Linked DNA regions of Oryzias latipes. The protein of the gene in region 2 purifies or fractionates together with the protein of the main gene of each other region. This does not show direct contact. Links are inferred from orthologs where the notes say so. Each region holds a gene or a part of one and is shown on either strand. Other genes may lie near its edges.

Region 1 (3,500 bases), on a different chromosome or scaffold from region 2:
CCCCCGGCTCTCTTGAAACCCACCCCATAGACTTATCGTCTCCCGTTCCACCCAGTGACCCCATGGTCCGGAAGCAGGTCGTGCAGGACCTCATGGCACAAATGCAAGGACCTTACAACTTCATGCAGGTGAGGTGGAACTCTTGGGAAACAAAAGTTGGCTCGACTTTGCGTTCTGCTGTCCTGAACGCTTTTCCTCTCAGGACTCCATGTTGGAGTATGATGGACAGCCCATTGACCCGGCTATTGTGTCAGCGCAGCCTATGAAGCCCGCTCAGAACATGGAAGCTCCACAGATGGTTTGTCCTCCAGGTAAGTTGTAGCTGATTATGATTAAAAACAGCTTCTTTAGATTTCCGATAGGCTGATAGAAGTTCCACCGTTTCAGTTCATCCTGAATCCCGGCTATCACAATCAAACTCTGTTCCTGTACAACCTGAACCCACGCAAGTGAGTGGTTTTATCTGATCAGTATATTCTTTGAAATATTACTCAGATTTCCGAGTTAAAGTATTCTCTTCTCTATTCCCAGGTGCCCATCGTCTCTCCAACCCCCCCACCCATGTATCAGAGCTCACACGCCCAAGAGCCTCGACTCTCACCTGAGGTCATCGACCCCATCCAGGTAAACCTGACTGGAAACTGATAAAAAATAATAATCCTGAGTGAAAGTGAACAAAGAAAGTAAACATGTGTTCCTTCAACAGACTTCCATGTCGTTGTCGACAGAGCAGCCCCCCCCCTCCACGGCTCTCGCCCCTGCCTCCCAGGCGCAGGGATTCCCGGCTGTTTCCAAGCCTCCCCACAGCAGCGGCATCAATGTGAATGCGGCTCCATTCCAGTCGATGCAAACCGTAAGACTCATGGCGCTCACTTCCTGCTGCTCAGAAGAAGTCTGATCAGAAACGCAGAGGCTGACCTTTGAGGCTGCAGTTTTCTGCTCCAACACACATCTGTTGTCAAGGGGAACTTGACGGCTTGATTTGAAATTCATTTTATTTTTGCATCCACTTTAATTTATCTTTTTCTCACTAACGGAATCGCTGAAGTTAAAGTTAAGCCAAAGACTGAGATGTTAATCCTGTCATGATGAAATGATGTACACAACAGGAATGGTTGATTCTGTGGGTCTGAAGTGAAGCAGCTCTAAGGTTTCATCTTCATGGAGGCTTTTCCGTTCCTCAGGTGTTCAACCTCAATGCTCCGGTCCCACCAGCCAATGAGGCAGAAGCTCTGAACCACGCTAACCAGTACCAGAACAGTTACAACCAGGCCTTCAGCAGTCAGCCGCAGCATCCGGCAGAGCCGGCAGAGATGCCGTCAGAACAACTTCAGTCCGGTGAGCAGACCTTCACAGACCAGAATATAAATGTCCCACCATTTAGATCAGCACTATTTGCTGTGCAGTGCTTTCTGGGTAATGAAGCTGGCTGCATTATTTCTGGAACTGGCAGTAACATTAATCAAACTTTCAATTGACTTGATTTCACTTTGACATTGAAGCTGAGCTGCTCATCCACTGCTTATCAGAAATGGGTTGTAGTGGGAGAAACGCACAAATGCAGGTCATCACTGATGTGTTTATGGTTCACTTGAACTGGGTTTGAACTCGGAATAGTTTGGGTCTAAATTATTGACAGCATTTCCCAGCAGTGACCAGTCCTGACTCCGGTTTCTGTGGGACTAAAGAAAATGTGCTGGTTTGAAGCTAAGGATCATCCTCAGCTCTTTACTGCTAATGTTTGTGTTTGTGTGGATACACAAAAAAGAGAGGCACTATTTTTAGTTACTTTTTATTGCCTTCTTTTTCTTTTTAATCACTCCAAAATGCAAGAGTAACTTTACTCCCACTTTAGCAAATTCCTCACACTTCAATGAATGAACCAGATTTTGCTTACTTATAGTTTTGTTTTTATTTATTTACAGATTTCTTTGTGGATTTTTCTTTTACCATTTTGTGTAAAATGTCCAAAAGAAAGCAATGGTTGCACAGAATACACTGCTGTTTGCATTAGTGTGGTGTAAACATAACTGAATACATAAAAAGCCTGTTTTTTAATAACTTCTGTCAGTCACACACCAACACGTCTTTCAAGCTCTTAAAGAATCTACAACATCTTTAAATAGTTTTAATTTAAACATTTAGATTGGTAAATGTGACTACTGTAATGCTTATGCGATGCTGAGTTACTTGGTTATAACATCCCAACTTTTCAAGAGTTTGAATAACCTTTAAAAATTAAAAAAATTTTATGTTTAGAATAACCACATTTGTAACTACCTGTTTTTAAAAACCACATTCTTTCTAGCGAAGGAGCTGCATTGTGTGTTCGTAGATTTAGAGAAGGCGTATGACAGGGTGCCGAGGGAGGAGCTGTGGTACTGTATGAGGTCGTCTGGAGTGGCAGAGAAGTATGTCAGAGTAGTTCAGGACATGTATGAGAGAAGTATGACGGTGGTGAGATGTGCTGTAGGTCAGACAGAGGAGTTCAAGGTGGAGGTGGGACTACACCAAGGATCAGCTTTAAGTCCTTTTTTGTTTGCTATGCTGATGGACAGGCTGACAGACGAGGTAAGACAGGAATCTCCCTGGACAATGATGTTTGCGGATGACATTGTAATTTGCAGTGAGAGTAGAGAGCAGGTGGAGGAACAGCTAGAGAGGTGGAGGTTTGCTCTGGAAAGAAGAGGTATGAAGGTCAGTCGTAGTAAGACAGAATGCATGTGTCTGAACGAGAGGGATCAAGGTAGAAGCGTTAGGTTACAGGGGGCTGAGGTGAAGAAGGTGCAGGAGTTTAAGTACTTGGGGTCAACAGTTCAGTGTGATGGGGAGTGTGGAAAAGAGGTGAAGAGGCGAGTGCAGGCAGGTTGGAGCGGTTGGAGGAAAGTGTCAGGAGTGTTGTGTGACAGAAGAGTGCCAGCAAGACTCAAAGGAAAGGTGTACAAGACAGTGGTGAGACCAGCTCTGCTCTATGGGTTAGAGACGGTAGCAGTGAGACAGAGACAAGAGGCTGAGATGGAGGTAGCGGAGATGAAGATGTTGAGGTTCTCCTTAGGAGTGACCAGGTTAGACAGGATAAGGAACGAGTACATCAGAGGGACGGCTCATGTTGCCTGTGTTAGCGACAAAGTCAGAGAAGCCAGACTGGGATGGTTTGGACATGTTCAGAGGAGGGATAGTGGATATATTGGTAGAAGGATGTTGGAGATGGAGCTGCCTGGCAGGAGGGCAAGAGGACGGCCAAAGAGGAGATACATGGATGTCTTAACAGAGGACATGAAGTTGGCTAACGTTAGGGTAGAAGATGTTCATGATAGAGTGAGGTGGAGGACGATGATTCCCTGTGGCGACCCCTGATGGGAAAAGCCGAAAGAGAAAGAAGATTCTTTCTAGCGAATGAATTAATCCACAAAGATACCTAAAAAAATAACTGCAAGCCCTTTTTTTTTTTGTCTACCCAGAAAACTGTTTGGAGAATTGTATTTAATAATAAAAAAAAG
Region 2 (4,185 bases):
AATAAAATAACTAAATAAATATGCAAACAAGTATGGCTTTGCTCTGCTGTGAGGAAACAGTATTTGGGAATCTCTTCATGCCAGGAGCCAGCCTGGCCATGGGAGCATCGCCACAGTGCCCACCCAGACGGGGACAACACTCGGGTCCACTTCACAGACGTGAAGCTGCAAAGTTAGACTCCAGCTGCCCCAGCAAGGGCAACAACTGCAGCAACAACCACCGACCAAGCCGGCAAGCCCTGGAAGAAAATATCCCCACAAGAAACACTGGGGCTAAAATCATGATAAGATACTAAAATTAAAGATACTTATACTTACATAAAAGTGTCGACCTGTAAGGTAAGAGTAAAACCACTTAAGAACATTTCCAGAGAGGCCCACTAGACTCCTAAGTCTGTCTAATAAAATCTGGTGATCTACTGTATCAAAAGTGGCACTCAGATCTAGCAGTACCAGAACAGAAAGTTCTGTGAGTCGTAGTTTATTCTAAGATCATTAACGATCTTTAAAAGAGCCGTCTCTGTACTATGGTTTGTCCTAAAACCAGACTGATATTTTTCTAAAATTTTTTGGGTGATTAAAAAGTCATGCAGTTGAGTAGCGACACTTTTTTTTTAATAATTTTACTTAAAAATGGTAATTTGGATACGGGTCTGTAGTTATCCAGATTTTTTGGATCTAACTGACTCTTCTTCAGAAGGGGCCTCACCAAACCAGGGGAAGACCCCCATCTGAAGAGAGCAGTTAACTATGTTTAAAAGATCGGACTCAAAGAATCCATAAAATGTTTTAAAAAGTGAAGTGGGAATGTGATCCTAAACGCAGGTTGTAATGTTTACTTGAGATACAACTCGATCAAGCATCTCTGCATCAACAAGGACAAATCATCTTCCTCTTCATCTTCCATATCATTTCTCAACAATACAACTAGCAATCCAAATTCTTTTTTTTTTTTTTTTGCTAAGGTAAATAAAAGATTAAGAATAATGCATTTAATAAAAAGGGAAATCTGAATAATCCCGATAAAAATAAAAATAAATGAACAACCTATTTAAACAATACATACGTTAAAATACAGTCAAGATAAAAAAAAAAACATGGAGGAAGAATCTGTTAACCGTATGGGATTGTACTGGTTTTGTCCAATTACTAGAGACTCACAACTGAAACTGGAAAGTTAACATTTTTTAAAAGACAGAATTTGCCAGCATGTGAGTGGTTTTTCTTAAATCGTGATTTTTTAAAACTATAAGTATACATGTATATTTTGTAATGAAAGCGTTTTGTTAGTAGGCGTGGCCATTTTTCCTACGCCATGTTCACCTCAGCCGTCTATTGGCTGAATCAGGTTAATGGGGGTCCCCTACCCGAGATTACAGGGGTAAAATAATAAATCGTACCTATCTCTTTAAGTGGCGAATCTCTGGTGCAGCAGAGATCTGTTACTTGTAGTTAGAGGAGGTTCGAAAGTATAATTTTTCACATTCGGCATTCCTATATTTGGGAACAGTTTACAGTCGGGTACTTGTCGTAATTTATTCCACACGATTCTGTCTACTTTGATAGGTCCTTCAGAAGGTAAGTTAGTTAGCCATTCTCCAAGATTTCGGTTAAGCGAAGCAAACGTATCAGCTAGCATTGCGTTAGCAATATTGCCTTCCACACAACAACTGTTCGATTGTATTGTTGATATTTACAATTTTCAGTGAAACGGTTTTTTTTAATATAAGCAACCGTACTCCTAACTATACACGGGGACATTTTGTGATTCAAAGAGATTTGGAACACGCTTTCCTTTGTTGTCTTAAGCTAGCACCGACCGAGCATTCAGTTGTGGTGGTGGTGTTCAACGTTAAGTACGAATTTGGATGTTGATGTATTGACATAGCAAGAAAGTATTATTTCAAACATTTTTTTGTATTGATTTTTTTGTGTTGTAACCAAAAATACGATTTTAAAATGAGGAAGTTATTTTTACGTGTTTAGGCTAAGTTTCTGTAATGGCTAGTATCGCCAGGTGTTGCCGTCATCATGTTGGCATTTTCTATTTAACAGCTTGTGGTCAGCATTTTGGAGGTTTCCTGAACTAGTTTGTTGCAGTTGGTTTCAATAGTAATATAAAGTTAAAAATAAAATAAAAAATAACTTAGTCTATAACTGACTGTGAAGAAAATGCGACGACGCCACACGTTAGCTGAAGCTAGCTAGCTAAGCAGCAATGACGTTCTTCTTAGGGGTTAGCTGGCGTTAGCCATTTGGTGGCAGCGCAAAGGCCGGCATATTGTGAATAAAAATGTTATTTCACCTTGTAGTTAATGTTACGTTTGCTGACAGCGCGTGCACATTATGTCTCTACAAGCTCGGTAGAATTGGCATTCAGTAGAGCGTTTATACGTGTCTGTCACATTATGTTCTGAACATGCGTAGAAGAATGTTAGGTGATGAAGAGTTCTTAGGATGTGTAAGGCCTCCCCATAAGGCCTCTAGTCAGGAAGGTTTGCTTAGTTGTGTAACACATTCTTGAAATGTGGTGACAAATAAATGTAGAATTCTTTTTTTTTTTAAATTTTTTAATCTTCCTTTTTACACACCAGTTTGAGCATTTACACTAGATGTTTCCCGTTTTTTATTATGTACAGTCGGTTTGCCCCCCTTTGTCTTATTGATGTCGCAGAATGTTAACCGTTATGAACACCTTTGATCCGGATAAATGTTGTGATGTTCACGGTTTTCTCTCTTTTCATTACTTATTCATTTGACATGCTCTGAGAGAAAAATGTAAGGTTTTAAGTAATCGGCCAATTAGAGGAATCAAATGAATAGTTGGCCCTAGTCTGAAATTCTTATAGAATTTAAACCTGAATTTGAACGCTAACCAAATGACTCTAGGTGAGTTACTCATTACAAACAGCCTGGTTTGGGTTTAAAGGTTTCAGTACCTGCTTAAGGTCTTTATGATCATGGTAAAAATCTTCTTCAATTTTGCGTTTGTTTTTTTGTTGAAATTTTTATAAATGTTGTCCAACGTTTTAGATTATCTAAAGTAATCAAGGATTGGACTGGGTTAAAAACCCTAAATAGAAACAAGAAAATTTGTACTTTTATTTGAGGAAGATTAAATATGTCTTGAGATTTTGACATGCCTGTTTTCGAACAGTTGTCCTAAAGGTTACCGAATTATATTATCCAGCATTCAGCGATGACCTCTTATATTGTGGAGTTTAAAGTAGAAATAAGTCAGTTGAAATTCTATTTTATATCTCACTTTGTCCTTTACATGGTATTTTCTTGTTTTATATAAATTACTTATATTATATAAAACATCAGTCACCCGAGTCTGCAGTATGAAAACCTTTGTCATATCTGTGTCTTCATGCATAATTAGAATTTCTGATGGATCCTGTTTTTTTTTTTTTGTTTCAGCACTTAATATTGTTTACCAAAGAAATGGTGATGGAGAAGCCAAGTCCCCTGCTTGTAGGGCGGGAGTTTGTGAGGCAGTACTATACACTTCTAAACAAGGCACCGGATTTTCTGCACAGGTAACTTCAGAAATATAATTGAGGTATTTTATGTACAATAAATCTGCAGGTTCTTATTCAACGTCTTAATCATGTGTTTAGGTTCTACGGGAGAAACTCTTCCTATGTTCATGGAGGACTTGATCCAAGTGGAAAGCTGGCAGAAGCAGTGTACGGTCAGGCTGTAAGTGTGATCATCAGAAGGATTTTGTTGTTTGCTTAGACTTCAACTACTTTCTGTTCTTTGTTATTGCTTTTCTTATATTTACTGAGATCTAGTTCTCTATGGGGGAAATGCATATATATATCTATATATATATATATAGATATATATAAATACACACACACACACACACACACACACACACACACACACACACACACATAAATACAAGGTTTAAAAAAAATCTTTGGACTTTAAAATTATACAGCTTATTTAAAAATGTTCATCAATATTTAAATATAAATTCAAGAGTGCAACTTATGAAGGATGAGTGTTTTACATAAATTGTTTTCGTATTATATATTTATAAATTTATTTATTTTTTAATTTTCCTAGGAAATCCACAAAAAAGTCATGTCCCTGCAGTTCAGTGAATGCCACACAAAGATCCGGCATGTGGACGCTCATGCTACACTGAGTGATGGCGTGGTCGTGCAGGTC

Evidence for each region. The genes of interacting proteins can lie anywhere in the genome.
Region 1: the proteins of g3bp2 (region 2) and caprin1 purify together in Homo sapiens (affinity purification with mass spectrometry; 5 studies listed by BioGRID and IntAct, with this or other methods). This does not show direct contact. The link is inferred for Oryzias latipes from reciprocal best matches to the Homo sapiens genes G3BP2 and CAPRIN1.

Annotation. Positions count from the first base shown.
Region 1 is NC_019864.2:14,871,555-14,875,054, forward strand, and holds part of caprin1 (caprin-1), read left to right. Parts: coding exon 1-128; intron 129-202; coding exon 203-311; intron 312-387; coding exon 388-449; intron 450-531; coding exon 532-624; intron 625-706; coding exon 707-853; intron 854-1,184; coding exon 1,185-1,338; intron 1,339-3,500. UniProt on the Homo sapiens protein: mRNA-binding protein that acts as a regulator of mRNAs transport, translation and/or stability, and which is involved in neurogenesis, synaptic plasticity in neurons and cell proliferation and migration in multiple cell types.
Region 2 is NC_019859.2:16,816,681-16,820,865, forward strand, and holds the start of g3bp2 (ras GTPase-activating protein-binding protein 2), read left to right. Parts: upstream 1-1,385; 5' UTR 1,386-1,578; intron 1,579-3,423; 5' UTR 3,424-3,447; coding exon 3,448-3,542; intron 3,543-3,623; coding exon 3,624-3,705; intron 3,706-4,080; coding exon 4,081-4,185.